Arabidopsis thaliana: one gene and its partners. The protein of the gene in region 1 purifies or fractionates together with the protein of each later gene. This does not show direct contact. Each region holds a gene or a part of one and is shown in the gene's direction. Other genes may lie near its edges.

What was found.
Region 2: the proteins of ER (region 1) and EPF2 purify together in Arabidopsis thaliana (affinity purification with western blotting, with the first as the bait; one study listed by BioGRID). This does not show direct contact.
Region 3: the proteins of ER (region 1) and EPF1 purify together in Arabidopsis thaliana (affinity purification with western blotting, with the first as the bait; one study listed by BioGRID). This does not show direct contact.

What each region holds. Positions count from the first base shown.
Region 1 is NC_003071.7:11,208,364-11,216,183, reverse strand, and holds the start of ER (Leucine-rich receptor-like protein kinase family protein), read left to right. Parts: upstream 1-1,521; 5' UTR 1,522-2,288; coding exon 2,289-2,367; intron 2,368-2,713; coding exon 2,714-2,852; intron 2,853-2,953; coding exon 2,954-3,025; intron 3,026-3,129; coding exon 3,130-3,201; intron 3,202-3,292; coding exon 3,293-3,364; intron 3,365-3,454; coding exon 3,455-3,526; intron 3,527-3,604; coding exon 3,605-3,676; intron 3,677-3,752; coding exon 3,753-3,824; intron 3,825-3,907; coding exon 3,908-3,979; intron 3,980-4,072; coding exon 4,073-4,141; intron 4,142-4,226; coding exon 4,227-4,298; intron 4,299-4,374; coding exon 4,375-4,446; intron 4,447-4,534; coding exon 4,535-4,606; intron 4,607-4,695; coding exon 4,696-4,767; intron 4,768-4,835; coding exon 4,836-4,907; intron 4,908-4,994; coding exon 4,995-5,066; intron 5,067-5,192; coding exon 5,193-5,264; intron 5,265-5,346; coding exon 5,347-5,418; intron 5,419-5,504; coding exon 5,505-5,576; intron 5,577-5,662; and 16 more. Other genes in the region: AT2G26340 (uncharacterized protein), read right to left, coding at 25-83, 171-265, 355-425, 527-575, 702-930. UniProt on the Arabidopsis thaliana protein: Receptor kinase that, together with ERL1 and ERL2, regulates aerial architecture, including inflorescence (e.g. shoot apical meristem-originating organ shape, elongation of the internode and pedicels, and adaxial-abaxial polarity), and stomatal patterning (e.g. density and clustering), probably by tuning cell division and expansion.
Region 2 is NC_003070.9:12,470,851-12,474,738, forward strand, and holds EPF2 (Putative membrane lipoprotein), read left to right. Parts: upstream 1-2,017; 5' UTR 2,018-2,139; coding exon 2,140-2,233; intron 2,234-2,321; coding exon 2,322-2,386; intron 2,387-2,577; coding exon 2,578-2,781; 3' UTR 2,782-3,124; downstream 3,125-3,888. UniProt on the Arabidopsis thaliana protein: Controls stomatal patterning. Regulates the number of cells that enter, and remain in, the stomatal lineage by inhibiting protodermal cells from adopting the meristemoid mother cell (MMC) fate in a non-cell-autonomous manner.
Region 3 is NC_003071.7:8,982,109-8,985,454, reverse strand, and holds EPF1 (epidermal patterning factor 1), read left to right. Parts: upstream 1-1,640; 5' UTR 1,641-1,875; coding exon 1,876-1,963; intron 1,964-2,049; coding exon 2,050-2,276; 3' UTR 2,277-2,592; downstream 2,593-3,346. Other genes in the region: AT2G20870 (cell wall protein precursor), read left to right, coding at 2,794-3,216. UniProt on the Arabidopsis thaliana protein: Controls stomatal patterning. Regulates asymmetric cell division during guard cell differentiation. Mediates stomatal development inhibition. Not cleaved by the protease CRSP (AC Q9LNU1).

The sequences.
Region 1 (7,820 bases):
CATTCATTCAAACATTGTCGGTACCTTAAACATCGATCAACATCATCAGTGGCGGTTTTGGAGAAACCATCATCTGAAGCATACTGAGCAACCTGAAAGAGTTTGCATTACACATTTCATCATCAAACAGAAACCAAATGAGTGACATCAAGTGAGCTTTAAAAACTTACAGCTCGAATGTTTACACGAAGAGAGCTAGCAGGACCAGACCGCAATTGGCGTCTACACGCCTCAAATTCAGGTTTCTCCACATTCAAAAATCCCTCTCCAACATCATAAATAAACATGAGTGTAAGTTTTATATAGCAAGAGTTTTAAGAACAAATGTGTAACAAAAAAACAGAGAAATTTTACCAAGATCCTGGATTTGTAACTGAGCTAGAATCACTGGTGGTACATATGCTTCAAGTGGATCAAGTTTCTTCCTATTCAATAACTGGTTTTAAGTTTTAGATAATTCACCAAACATTTCAAAATCTAACTTCAGAATTCAAAGGAATAAGCATCGGAGACGATTTAATGTTACCTCTTGACGTATTTATCCAATTTATCCATTAAGCCACCAGCCATAGCATCTGATCATCATCATCAACATATAAATAACCAAATTTGAAATGAACAAAAGTCGAATTGGTGATATTGAAAATCGAGTTCGTGAAATTGAGAATCGGATTGGTGAATTTGAAGAGAGATGCGTGTACCGTTAGGGAGGAGGAGGAGACGGGAGAGAAAAAAGGAGACGGAGATAACTCGCCGGCTCTGTTTCCATGGCGGAGGTGATAATGTAGCTGCGCACGTTAGCTTTTTGTGGTTTGAGTTGGAGAACAGTGGGAGGCTCACGGTAGCGTGGAGTGACGACATTGGGGATAACACCAGAGGCGTCTTATCTCCGTTGGACAAATTATTATTATGGCTATGAACATTCAACATATAATTTAATTAGAAATTTGCGGATGAAAAAGAGGTAAACAATTGCAGAAATGGTTAAAAATATTAACGTTGTACAGCAAATGATAATAAAAAGTGTAACGTACAGTGTGTAAGGAATGGAAAAATAATAATTTGGGTTAAAATAAATATGTAGTTTTCTAACTATATAGTACTTTTTGAGAAAAGATAATATTATGTGTATTTTTATTGAAACAAATAAATGATTTAACAAAAAAAAAAAGAGAAGTTAAAATGAAAAGGAATTATTATTTTTTAAGTTCTTCCTTCTTTTGTTGGGCCTGTGACCCTTTTAGTTTTAGTCCACTTCGTTCTCAAAGCTTCAAAATATTAATTTTGTGACAAACCGACCGGAGCCAACCAAACCGGTTAACATCCTAAAACCAATCATATTTTATTAAGTTTTGTGTTGATGCTAAACCAAAAATCATTGGCATGCATATTTCTAAATTTAGTAATAAACAAAAACACTTAGAAATCACACGTTCACTATACTAAAAAACGTTGACAAAAACACAACAACTATACTAATAATTAAAGAAGAGAAAACTGAACCAAACTTTTTGTAAACTCCTGAATTTAAATTAGTAATTGAAGTAAGAAGATGAAGAAGAACATGTTAAGCAAACAAAAAAATTACACTAAAATCATATAAAAATACATAATTACAAAAGTACCCATAAGATGGATTTATTGATATGGGTCATCTGTGAAACAAGCCACAGAGAGACAAAGACTCGTAAGTATTGGGCAACGAAAGCGACCTCCTTTATTCACCACTGCCATTAACATGTTCTTCTTCTCCTTCTTCTTCTACATTTTATGACCGTTTTACCCTTCAAGAGAGAGAAACAAAATCACTCCCTCTCACTCACTCTATCTCTCTCTTCTGCAAAGCTTCAGAACTCTGGCAGAGAGATAAAAGATGATGGGGTTTTTAACTTTATCCTCCCCAAATAATTCTTCTTCCCTTCATCTCTCTCTCTTACACAACAGGTCCCTACATTTGTACAATCTCCTCTCTTTAAAGACTCTCTCTCTTTCTCTCTCCATCTCTATCTTACTCTGTATTTCTGTCGTCTGAGCACTCAATGAAACCACTGTAAATTTCCGCCAGAATTTGATGTGATGGAACGATAAAAATCATTTTTTCTCGGTTAAAGTAAAAAAACAAAAACAAATTTCTGTAGAAATCATAATAAAAGAAAGAAAAAAAATCTAATGTCGGTACATAATACGGTTCTCTTCTTCTTCTCTATCCTCTGTTTCTTCTTCATGGAGACTTGAAAGCTTTTAAAGTATATCTAAAAACGCAGTCGTTTTAAGACTGTGTGTGAGAAATGGCTCTGTTTAGAGATATTGTTCTTCTTGGGTTTCTCTTCTGCTTGAGCTTAGTAGCTACTGTGACTTCAGAGGAGGGTCAGTTATTATACTGATGCATGCTTCTTCAAGTTCAAGATTTTCGTCTTTTTGTTTTATATTAGTGAAAAAAACTTAAAGATGAGATTTTTATATGATTTTTGAAGTTTCATTTGGTGAAAATGAGATCTGGGTACTTGTTATTTTCTATTTTTGCTTTTTGTAATGGTTTTTTTTTACTTGGTGGGTCTTCTATAGAATCAAAAGAAGCTTTGAATAAATTAGGGTTTGAGTTTTATTTTGTTTTCTTGGAAGTTGAATTTTTAATCTTCTCAAGAACTGACAAATATTTTTTTTTGTTTTTGTGCGTGTGTGTTAATAAAATATCCTTAAAACAAAATTAAAGGAGCAACGTTGCTGGAGATTAAGAAGTCATTCAAAGATGTGAACAATGTTCTTTATGACTGGACAACTTCACCTTCTTCGGATTATTGTGTCTGGAGAGGTGTGTCTTGTGAAAATGTCACCTTCAATGTTGTTGCTCTGTAAGTTTCTTCATTCCTTTAGATTACTATTACAGTGGTTTTTGGTGTTCTTGTGGGAAAAAGTTGTAATTTGTTTTGTGTGTGTTTTCTATGTTTTGTAGTAATTTGTCAGATTTGAATCTTGATGGAGAAATCTCACCTGCTATTGGAGATCTCAAGAGTCTCTTGTCAATGTAACTGTTTCAACATTCACTGTAGCATGAAATAAAGTATCTTACTTTAATTCTATTCCACTCTCTGAGTTGTGACTTTTGTCTTCTGTTTTTTTCTAATGTAGTGATCTGCGAGGTAATCGCTTGTCTGGACAAATCCCTGATGAGATTGGTGACTGTTCTTCTTTGCAAAACTTGTAAGAACAGTGATTGGTGTTATTCTACCATTAAACTTTTGTTCATAGAGGTTTTATTTGATGAAGTGTGTTCATGTTGTTTTTTATTCAGAGACTTATCCTTCAATGAATTAAGTGGTGACATACCGTTTTCGATTTCGAAGTTGAAGCAACTTGAGCAGCTGTAAGTAGCTAGTTATTCTGCTACTAGTCTTCATATGTCATTGCTAAAAATATACTCACCATGTGGAATATGGATTTTTACTTTGTCCAGGATTCTGAAGAATAACCAATTGATAGGACCGATCCCTTCAACACTTTCACAGATTCCAAACCTGAAAATTCTGTATGTTCCCCATGATTCTTACATGTCTTACTACTTTTAGCTATATAGGTGATCATACATGTGTAATTTCAATTGCAGGGACTTGGCACAGAATAAACTCAGTGGTGAGATACCAAGACTTATTTACTGGAATGAAGTTCTTCAGTATCTGTAAGTGTCAATGTTTTTTGAAGTCTGTCAATGTCTCTTCATTACCCGGTGATAATTGTTGTACTATGATGAGCAGTGGGTTGCGAGGAAACAACTTAGTCGGTAACATTTCTCCAGATTTGTGTCAACTGACTGGTCTTTGGTATTTGTGAGTCTTCTTGCACATCTGAATAGTATGATGAGTTCTTTTGTAAATATCAAATATCTGACTTTGTTTTGATATTGAATCAGTGACGTAAGAAACAACAGTTTGACTGGTAGTATACCTGAGACGATAGGAAATTGCACTGCCTTCCAGGTTTTGTATGTGCCTCTTTCTCTACTTCTAAACATCATTACTGTAATTTGGGTTACTTAAGAAAATCTACTTAACTGGTTTGCTTATTACGAACTCAGGGACTTGTCCTACAATCAGCTAACTGGTGAGATCCCTTTTGACATCGGCTTCCTGCAAGTTGCAACATTGTTAGTTCTCACCTCTACTAATCTTTTGCTTTAAATTTTGGCTAGCCTTTGTTTTCTTTTAAAGAAGATCATTTTCTTATCTTAGATCATTGCAAGGCAATCAACTCTCTGGGAAGATTCCATCAGTGATTGGTCTCATGCAAGCCCTTGCAGTCTTGTAAGTACTTTTCTTCTAATCAATGAAGCTACTTATAACATTTTCATGAACTTAGGTTATATGTTTTCTTTTACAGAGATCTAAGTGGCAACTTGTTGAGTGGATCTATTCCTCCGATTCTCGGAAATCTTACTTTCACCGAGAAATTGTAATTCTTTACCTGTTTGTTTTCAGTTTGGAGTCAAATGTCATACCATGTTAATGATAGTGATTTATCTTTTTGGCTTTATCTCTAGGTATTTGCACAGTAACAAGCTGACTGGTTCAATTCCACCTGAGCTTGGAAACATGTCAAAACTCCATTACCTGTATGACCAACCTTCTCTTCACTTCTCTTTTTGCATACAGTCACTACTAAGTTGTGTTTCCTTATCAACTATTTGTAAAATATTCATAGGGAACTCAATGATAATCATCTCACGGGTCATATACCACCAGAGCTTGGGAAGCTTACTGACTTGTTTGATCTGTAAGTAGTTCTTCCTATGCTTGACATGTTTTGATGTTCTTATGCTTATATGAACTATGTACATATAGGAATGTGGCCAACAATGATCTGGAAGGACCTATACCTGATCATCTGAGCTCTTGCACAAATCTAAACAGCTTGTATGTATCTCTTTCTCTGAAAACTTCTCACTTGAATGTTCAAGATTGGTGCTTTATATGATTTTGTGTCTCATTAATGTAATGTAGAAATGTTCATGGGAACAAGTTTAGTGGCACTATACCCCGAGCATTTCAAAAGCTAGAAAGTATGACTTACCTGTAAGTATCGACGCTGAGAATTTCTCTAATCTTATATAATATATAGTTCCACAGCGTTTGTTTTTTCGAATTTCAAGTCATTAACTACTGAGTTTTTGGTTGCCTTTGATTTATCGGTTCAACCAGTAATCTGTCCAGCAACAATATCAAAGGTCCAATCCCGGTTGAGCTATCTCGTATCGGTAACTTAGATACATTGTAAGTGTTTCTTGTTTTCTGTGAAGTATACATCATTATATGTGCCTTGTCTCACATTTATTAAATTTAATGACATTTGAAGGGATCTTTCCAACAACAAGATAAATGGAATCATTCCTTCTTCCCTTGGTGATTTGGAGCATCTTCTCAAGATGTGAGCATCCATAAGACCTCCAGTTTTATTGTTTATTTCTAGCAAAAGATGAAAATGGTTTGTGAACTCTTGCATTCTTGTTATAGGAACTTGAGTAGAAATCATATAACTGGTGTAGTTCCAGGCGACTTTGGAAATCTAAGAAGCATCATGGAAATGTAAGAAGTTAACTTCTATCTGCTTGGTTAGAGTTTTTTTCATTTATCTCAATTACTGTTCTGAATTTGTGTGTTTGTGGTTGCAGAGATCTTTCAAATAATGATATCTCTGGCCCAATTCCAGAAGAGCTTAACCAATTACAGAACATAATTTTGCTGTAAGCAATCTTCCTCTTATCCCTTCCAAGCTGTTAAGAAATTGTTTTTGTAGAATGAAACTAAAACTCTGTATACACAATAATGAGGTCACTATAGTGTGATCCAGGAACATGTATTGGGTTGGTGATCTATCTAATGTTGTGTTTCTTAAAATTGCTTGCAGGAGACTGGAAAATAATAACCTGACTGGTAATGTTGGTTCATTAGCCAACTGTCTCAGTCTCACTGTATTGTAAGTAGGCACCTTTGGTTCTGAAACATTTTTTGTCCCTCTTTGTGCATCTTTTGCTAAGAATATAACCCTGCAATCTTCACTAACTCTTATAGGAATGTATCTCATAACAACCTCGTAGGTGATATCCCTAAGAACAATAACTTCTCAAGATTTTCACCAGACAGGTATGGTAATTTAGCAGGTTTTGGTATTGTGCATTTTGTTTTGTTTGCTAATATCTATGTTTATGTTTTTGGATAAAGCTTCATTGGCAATCCTGGTCTTTGCGGTAGTTGGCTAAACTCACCGTGTCATGATTCTCGTCGAACTGTACGAGGTGATTACATTCTTCTAAAAGCTTCCATTCACAAAACCTAAGATAATTAAAGCTCATGTTTCTATCCATGTTTTGTCTGCAGTGTCAATCTCTAGAGCAGCTATTCTTGGAATAGCTATTGGGGGACTTGTGATCCTTCTCATGGTCTTAATAGCAGCTTGCCGACCGCATAATCCTCCTCCTTTTCTTGATGGATCACTTGACAAACCAGGTCTACTCTCCAAACCACTTTACGAATGTTCTTCACCTACAATGTAATCCAATAGTTAATCCTTAAATTTCCTGGTGACATCAGTAACTTATTCGACACCGAAGCTCGTCATCCTTCATATGAACATGGCACTCCACGTTTACGAGGATATCATGAGAATGACAGAGAATCTAAGTGAGAAGTATATCATTGGGCACGGAGCATCAAGCACTGTATACAAATGTGTTTTGAAGAATTGTAAACCGGTTGCGATTAAGCGGCTTTACTCTCACAACCCACAGTCAATGAAACAGTTTGAAACAGAACTCGAGATGCTAAGTAGCATCAAGCACAGAAATCTTGTGAGCCTACAAGCTTATTCCCTCTCTCACTTGGGGAGTCTTCTGTTCTATGACTATTTGGAAAATGGTAGCCTCTGGGATCTTCTTCATGGTAAGTCTCATCGCCAAACATAGAAAATTATTTGAATCTTCTGTGACATAACAACTTGCTTGTGTGTTTTGTAAAGGCCCTACGAAGAAAAAGACTCTTGATTGGGACACACGGCTTAAGATAGCATATGGTGCAGCACAAGGTTTAGCTTATCTACACCATGACTGTAGTCCAAGGATCATTCACAGAGACGTGAAGTCGTCCAACATTCTCTTGGACAAAGACTTAGAGGCTCGTTTGACAGATTTTGGAATAGCGAAAAGCTTGTGTGTGTCAAAGTCACATACTTCAACTTACGTGATGGGCACGATAGGTTACATAGACCCCGAGTATGCTCGCACTTCACGGCTCACTGAGAAATCCGATGTCTACAGTTATGGAATAGTCCTTCTTGAGTTGTTAACCCGAAGGAAAGCCGTTGATGACGAATCCAATCTCCACCATCTGGTTTGTTCTTTCTTGCCTATCTCTCTCAGCTGCTCTGTTTAGGTCAAGTCCGTAATCTTGTTTTCATTGATTCACTTACATCAGATAATGTCAAAGACGGGGAACAATGAAGTGATGGAAATGGCAGATCCAGACATCACATCGACGTGTAAAGATCTCGGTGTGGTGAAGAAAGTTTTCCAACTGGCACTCCTATGCACCAAAAGACAGCCGAATGATCGACCCACAATGCACCAGGTGACTCGTGTTCTCGGCAGTTTTATGCTATCGGAACAACCACCTGCTGCGACTGACACGTCAGCGACGCTGGCTGGTTCGTGCTACGTCGATGAGTATGCAAATCTCAAGACTCCTCATTCTGTCAATTGCTCTTCCATGAGTGCTTCTGATGCTCAACTGTTTCTTCGGTTTGGACAAGTTATTTCTCAGAACAGTGAGTAGTTT
Region 2 (3,888 bases), on another chromosome or scaffold:
AAAACATTCTTCTAGGATATGGTGTAAGTTTCCATCTTTAACCCTCTATTAAAAACTTTCTATGTTTTGATGTAGTGGTTTGAATCGTTTATGGTTTATGTGTATTGATGGTTCTCTTAACTTTCACAATGGAAGAGTTTTATGCTTTCATTTCTCAAACGGCTGGGGCTAATGGATAGTCAGCATTAGACAAATATTTGAATGAGCTGGTTTTGGACATGATAGCATTTAAGAGCATGGATATTTTGCATATTGGAGAAATAATGCAAATCGGTTCAAGGAGTTGTCTAAAATTGTAGCTTCAAAAGTCTTCATTCAGCATAGGAAGTCGGGTCTTAAACAAGTATCAGAGTTGTCTCCTTCCCTACTAACGTTTAAGCTTTGATATGCGCGAGGAATTGGCTATTTGACATATTTTCTTTTGTCATATTTCAATCAATTTGAATTTAAATGTAAATATGTTTTTTTGTTGTACTTAGATGATCATATTGAGTTATTTAATGAAGACAAAGATGGCAAGGGAGAAATATAAGAAGTTTAAATTTGCATTTAATTGCTTTTAGATTTGATACTTTGTTGAATTGTGTTCAAATTTGTTTTTAGATATATTTCAAAGTATAAGACTTTTGACTTATGTATTGATTAAAATATGAACCAAAAACTATTATGTTCAAATTTGGTTCTGATATGCCCATTGAACATCCCATTTGAACATAAACTTTAATGACATGAACGTTAATAGACATGAGTTTTAGTGGACATGAACTCCATTTATCTAATATCAAAATAGACATTATTAAAAATTGGAATGTGTTAATGGATATGGATAGCCTGCTATAGACTACCATTTTTGTTGGACATATCTTAAATTATCAACGAAGTACTCAAAAAATAAGAAAAAAATTCTGAAATAGTCTTGACCAACATTTCTTTCTTCTTAGACCTTCGAAACACATAAAAATGTTTTCTAGACCAAAACACATATTAATCATCATATTTGTTGGAGCTCAGATTTTATATAAATATCAACCAAGAAGAAAGGACTAGTTTAACCGCTAGGAATCTTTTTGTGACCAGAAAACATTTCTGCCTACGCTAGGAATCATCTATCAATAAAACATGGAATTTCTTCGTTACAAAAAAGAACTGAAAAATATGCTAAGCTCATTATTTGGTGCTTTGGGAAAAGGTCATTAAAACCAAGGGCAAGGTTCACGTTTGTGTGACAGGTTATTTTCAAGATGTCTGAACACTTTTTGGCTGCTTCTGTAAGTTCTCTGCTCTCTCTCCCATTGTGAACCTTATGACTACAATTATTAACTATTCCCTTATAGTAACTCCTTTTTTGGTCCCACGCCATATATTATATACCATATCTTTACGTATAAAACTTCTCTCTATATTCATGATACCACTAACACTTACATATTTAATGCTTCGACTTTTGTAATTATACATTCGTTCATCCTTGTGTACAATATGATCGATGGGCTTCTTGGTCTTTTAGCGGTAGAACTTTGTGTATATTAATATATATATATATGATTTACTGGTCATATTTTTTTATATAAACTATGATGTATTGGTCATAAATCGATGCTCAACTAATTTTTTTTTTAGTTTTATGTTGAACTATGATTTGTAGTGAAATATAGTCTTCTAGTTAAACATTTTCATCCATGGTTTATAATATGATTGATGAGATCTTCATATTATATATCCACTGACTGAACATGAAAACATGCACACAAGTCACAACCATATCTCAGGCTTTATTGCTACGTACATGTGAACAGTTTCTCATATTCAAAAATATTCATAGCCCGCGAACATGTTCATTGGTAACTAAAAGAATAAATCATAATGATTTTTTCTCAGAAAATCGACGAGAATCATGTGACCCTTCAACATGTGTGCCTCTTTTCATCATTTATTATCATAAATCATAAACACATAACCAATTCTTTCTCACCTTTTCCTCAACTATATATACACATATCTCACTTATCCCACCTTTAATACTTCACACACAACACATAACACACGTAGTACTTGCTTCCTATCATTTCTAGAAACTTCTCTTTAAAACCTCTGCCTCAACCAGAAAGTTTCTTCTTGTTAAAAAAAAAGATTATAAACATGACGAAGTTTGTACGCAAGTATATGTTTTGCCTCGTCCTAGTCTTCGCCGCGTGTTCTTTGGTCGTTAACTCCATTCGCACGCCGCCACTAAGTCCGTCACATCAATATCTTTTGGTTATAGTTTATATTTTACTTGGTAATGATTTTCATATATTAACATTTTATACTTTTTAATGTAGAAAACACGGTCAATGGCGGAGAAAAGAAAAACGCCGATATAGAACAAGCTCAAACGCACCACAAGGTAGGTCCTGTCTCCCACGGTGCACTTCTCTCATTTTAATTTATGTGCAAAAATACCATATTTTAATATATAAAAATATTTTTTTAATAATAACAACTGCATTTGATTTTTTCTTTTAATTAATTTTTAATTTTTTCTTTATAAAAGAAGTCATTGTCAATTAATTGTTTTCTTGTTGTAATGTGGTGAAGAAGGAAATAAGCAAAAACGGAGGGGTAGAAATGGAAATGTACCCAACAGGATCAAGCTTACCGGATTGTTCATACGCGTGTGGCGCATGTTCGCCGTGTAAACGTGTGATGATTAGTTTCGAATGCTCAGTCGCCGAATCATGTAGCGTCATCTACAGATGCACGTGCAGAGGGAGATACTATCACGTGCCATCTAGAGCTTGAATTGAATCTCCGCCGTTTATTTTTTTTTGACGTCTGTGATTAAAATATCAGTTTTGGCTGGCGGCGAAACTTTTTTTCTATTGTACAATTTGTTGGGATATTAAATTAAATGCTATTGGCCCACTTTGAAGTCTTATAATTAATATTGGGCTTTATTAGGCCTTTTCAAAGAGAGTTTGTATGACACGACCGAATCAGATTCTTGAACCGGTACATCACAAAGTCAAATGCTTCGGTTGGCCAATTATTTATTGTTTCCTTTTAAAAGCCATCTCCATCATACCGGTAACCGGTTAAACCAAAAAAATCATTTATGTAACAATGTGTAAAGTATAAACTTTTTCTTACTATGGATCGTTTTGAAATTTACATCTTCTTACATTAATCTGATTTGCATTAGTTAAAGAAATCATTTTCTTTTGTTCAAAAACTTAGACGTTTTTTTTTTTGGTTTAATTTAAAAAAAAACTTAGAAGTTAGAATAAAGTTTTGTTCTTCATTTTTTTGGTACACGAATAAAGATTTTTTTAGTTGTTTTTTTTTGGTAAAACTTTTTTTTTTGTTTTGTTTTTTATTAGTTGTTTATTTTCTCGTAATTTCTAATTTATGTTATGAGCATACAATATTCTATAGATTTTAAGTGTTTTTAGGGGAAAAAAACATTTGTAATAAATTTTACTTTTGTGTTTAAACTTTAAGCTATTTCCGTCTCGCTTTTTAAAGTGAAGACTAGTCTATGTTATTTGACTATGAAAAATGAAATTAAAAATGATTTTAAATCAGAAAATAAAACAATGACTTTGGCAAATAAAAATTTATTTATATTAATTTTGTCTTCCCATTTTGAAAAAGAAAGCTTGAAAATATCCCAAGAAGACATGGTCAATAGTCGAAGGAAGAAAGATAATGGGATGCAACTTGCAGGATTGTTAAATGACATATGACTGTTGAAGTAGCTCAAGATATATGGGCTACAAAGTCAACATGAAACATCTTAATCTGGACTGTTGAAATAGTGTTATCCTACGCAAACGTTAGATTTGTTTTTAATCAACTTTGAAAGATATGTTTTGTTTCTCTTTTTGGCATCAAAATTATATGAAAATT
Region 3 (3,346 bases), 2.2 Mb from region 1:
TATCACCATACATTCATAATATATATAACTTCTTTTAGAATTTATTTAAATTTTGGATGGCTGTTTCGATACATAACCTTCTAATAAGAAGTGTAAAGGCAGGCGTAAAAAAAGATTCGACCTTAAAAAGTAATTAATTTCAAGTCACATGAATAATAATTAAAATGATGTAATAACAAAATAACGAAAACATCTAAATAATGCTAAATAATTATAAAACGCTAAAAATACATCGTTTTTAACTATATTTTTAATAAATGTATTCAGAAATATTAAATTATTTTTCCAATACGATAAAATTAGATAAATGTTATGGATTTTCTTATCATTCACAACAAGGAAAAACTCTTGGATGGTAAACTGAATGGACTTTCAAGGGTTGAAAAATGGAATGTTTTCTGAAGCAGACCGATTTTATACAAGCCCCTCAATTCGCATTAGTAAAACCGATGTCTCCTTGCATAATATGGATTCCAAATATGTTATAATGTCTATTGACATGAAGAACTTAGAAACCTTGGTACATATTAAGATGACGTGGACGCAAGGAGGTGCCAAGGTGGGAGGCTGAAGTCTTAAACTTTCGGCAGATAAAGATAAACAAACTCCAAAACAAAACAAAACAAAAAGAAAACAAAGACAAGGGAAAAGGTTCGTGTTAGAAGAAAAAGTCAACAGCTTAAAGCTTAAAAAGTCGGTGAATGAATGGGTCAGCTCTCTCCACTTTCATTATCTCTCTATGCTCTATCTCTCCAATCATAAAACTTGCTATTCCAATTAAACTTATACACTATCCATTAGTATTTTATGTAGTATTCTTATTAAGATATTTTAACGTGGTCCATCATTCTACTTAATAAGTTTTTCTCTTCTTTTAAATTTATTGGCAGCAGTTTGAGAAAACGATTAGATTGATTAAGAATGCAACGAATGTCAAATCCCAAACCATTATCTTATACCAGTTATATTATGAGTGCTTCATATTTATATATTAACTTGCCAAAGTTTTGAAGATTATACTATGAAGGCTACTCAAAGGGACATTGATTCCTAGAAGATGATTTTATGATGTTAAGCCGTTGACTTTGGTAACTAAATCATTTGACCTTTGATGTTTCTGCCCCCTTTAGCAAATAGAAACTTAATAAGAAAATTTTCATTGAAATTTAGCATCCCAAAGAAAGGTGTAGAAAAGTTATAGTGTAATGTGATTGGTGAGGTGCATGTTCGACACTCTTCAAATGTTGATTGAAACTTTTTTTTGTGTGCAAAGTTGATTGAAACTTTAATATTTTTTCATTAATCGCTTAAAGTGTAGTAGTGTCAAAATATTGAGATGTCAAGTATAGAACATACTATCATTTTCAAAACAATTGTGCAATTTCAGTATAATCAGTATTTAAATCATTAATAACCTCATGTGTAATTAACTCTATTATATTATCGATTTTAAAACACAAGCCCCAAGACAATGTCCCTCATTCTATCTCATCAAATGCTCAACTTTTTTTTTTTAGTAAGAACATTAATTGGGTGCATTAATGAAGGTCACAGAAAAGAAGGGTTATAGAGGGTAAATTAAAGGTGATTGCACACAAAAGTATGTCTTTCAGTTTTTCACAGAGGAAGCTCATGACACTCACCAAAGCAGCACGAATGAAGTTCAAGTTCTTAATTAGGCTTCACATACTCTACATCATCTCCTCAAAATTTATATCATTTCATATGTTCGATCTTGTTTTCATGTGACTCTCTCCTCTTCTCTACCGTGAGTCTCTTCAATTTCCTAACCCTTTGTTAACGATCATATATACCTTGTTTCTCGCCGTACTATTTCATCCCAAATTTTACTTTTACCACTTGCGATAATATATCATGAAGTCTCTTCTTCTCCTTGCCTTTTTCCTCTCTTTCTTCTTTGGCTCTCTCTTGGCTAGGCATTTACCAACATCCTCCCATCCAAGTATGTATCTATGCACATCTTTCTTACTCCAGCTCTTTCACTATCTTCAAGATCTCTAACTTGTTCATGTCTGCGTGCATGTGCAGGTCATCATCATGTAGGAATGACCGGGGCATTGAAGCGTCAGAGGAGGAGGCCGGACACGGTGCAGGTGGCTGGGTCTAGGTTGCCAGATTGCTCACACGCGTGTGGCTCGTGTTCTCCATGCCGTCTTGTGATGGTTAGCTTTGTGTGTGCATCCGTCGAAGAGGCTGAGACTTGTCCAATGGCTTATAAATGCATGTGCAACAATAAGTCCTACCCTGTCCCTTGATCAGCCTCTTCTACACTTATTCTATGCATTCAACCGTTTTGTTTTCCTTTTGCTTCTCCGGGACATGACCATGTGTACGTATACAATGCATCTTTAATTAGTTTCTTTCTTATTATTAATAGGAATCTTAAACACAGTTTGATCCGAGATTAATTAATCAGAAAATATATGGATATCAAAAAATGAAAGCCACTCACCTATTTGGGCTCTCTCGCTGTATTATGGTCCATGAGGCCGTATTTAAGACAGCAACAACAAAAGTTGTAGACAGAATTATATTTAAAAGGCAACAACAAAAGTACGTATACGTTGTTACCACCAAACTTTGGAGGCTCGCTAATAATAACCACACTACCCATTTGTTACACACCCTTTATTTTCAACCATATCATCTCACCTTCGTTAAATGTTCCCACAATTAGCTCAGTATTTTACTATATACATACACACACATTCCCTCCACAGGATCAAACAAACACACGAGCTTTCTCCTCTACAACAAAATAAAATAAAATTAATGGCTTCTTCACTTATCACCTCCGCAGTCATTGTCGTGGTTTTAAGCCTAGTGCTTGGATCTGTAGAGCAAGTGAGTGGACTACGTCACGTTCCCAAGTCCCCTAAGACCACTGATGTCAAACACCCTGACTTTCTTGTAACCATTGAGCCCAAACCAACTATTCTCATTCCCGGTGTTGGAAGGTTCTTGCTTCCTCCCAAATGCAAGAAGCCGTTCTACCCTTACAATCCTGTCACCGGAGCTCCACTTACTGGTGGGGGAATCCCATCATATAATGGTGGACAAGGGGCCGGACCTCACACCCAACTCCCTGGTGGCGATGATACGCTTGTCCCAAACCCCGGATTTGAAGCGCCAACCCCGACCATTGGAGCTGGCACCGGAAGCAACGGCCAAGTTCCACCAGTGCCACTACCCTGAGTATTATTAATCTGTCAACAAATAAGCATATCTTAGATGCAAACATGTCTGTTTTGGTGTCTTGAGTCTTGGTTAGATAAGTAACCCGCTACTTTACTAGCCGTTTCGTTTGCCATCTCTTTTTCTCTCT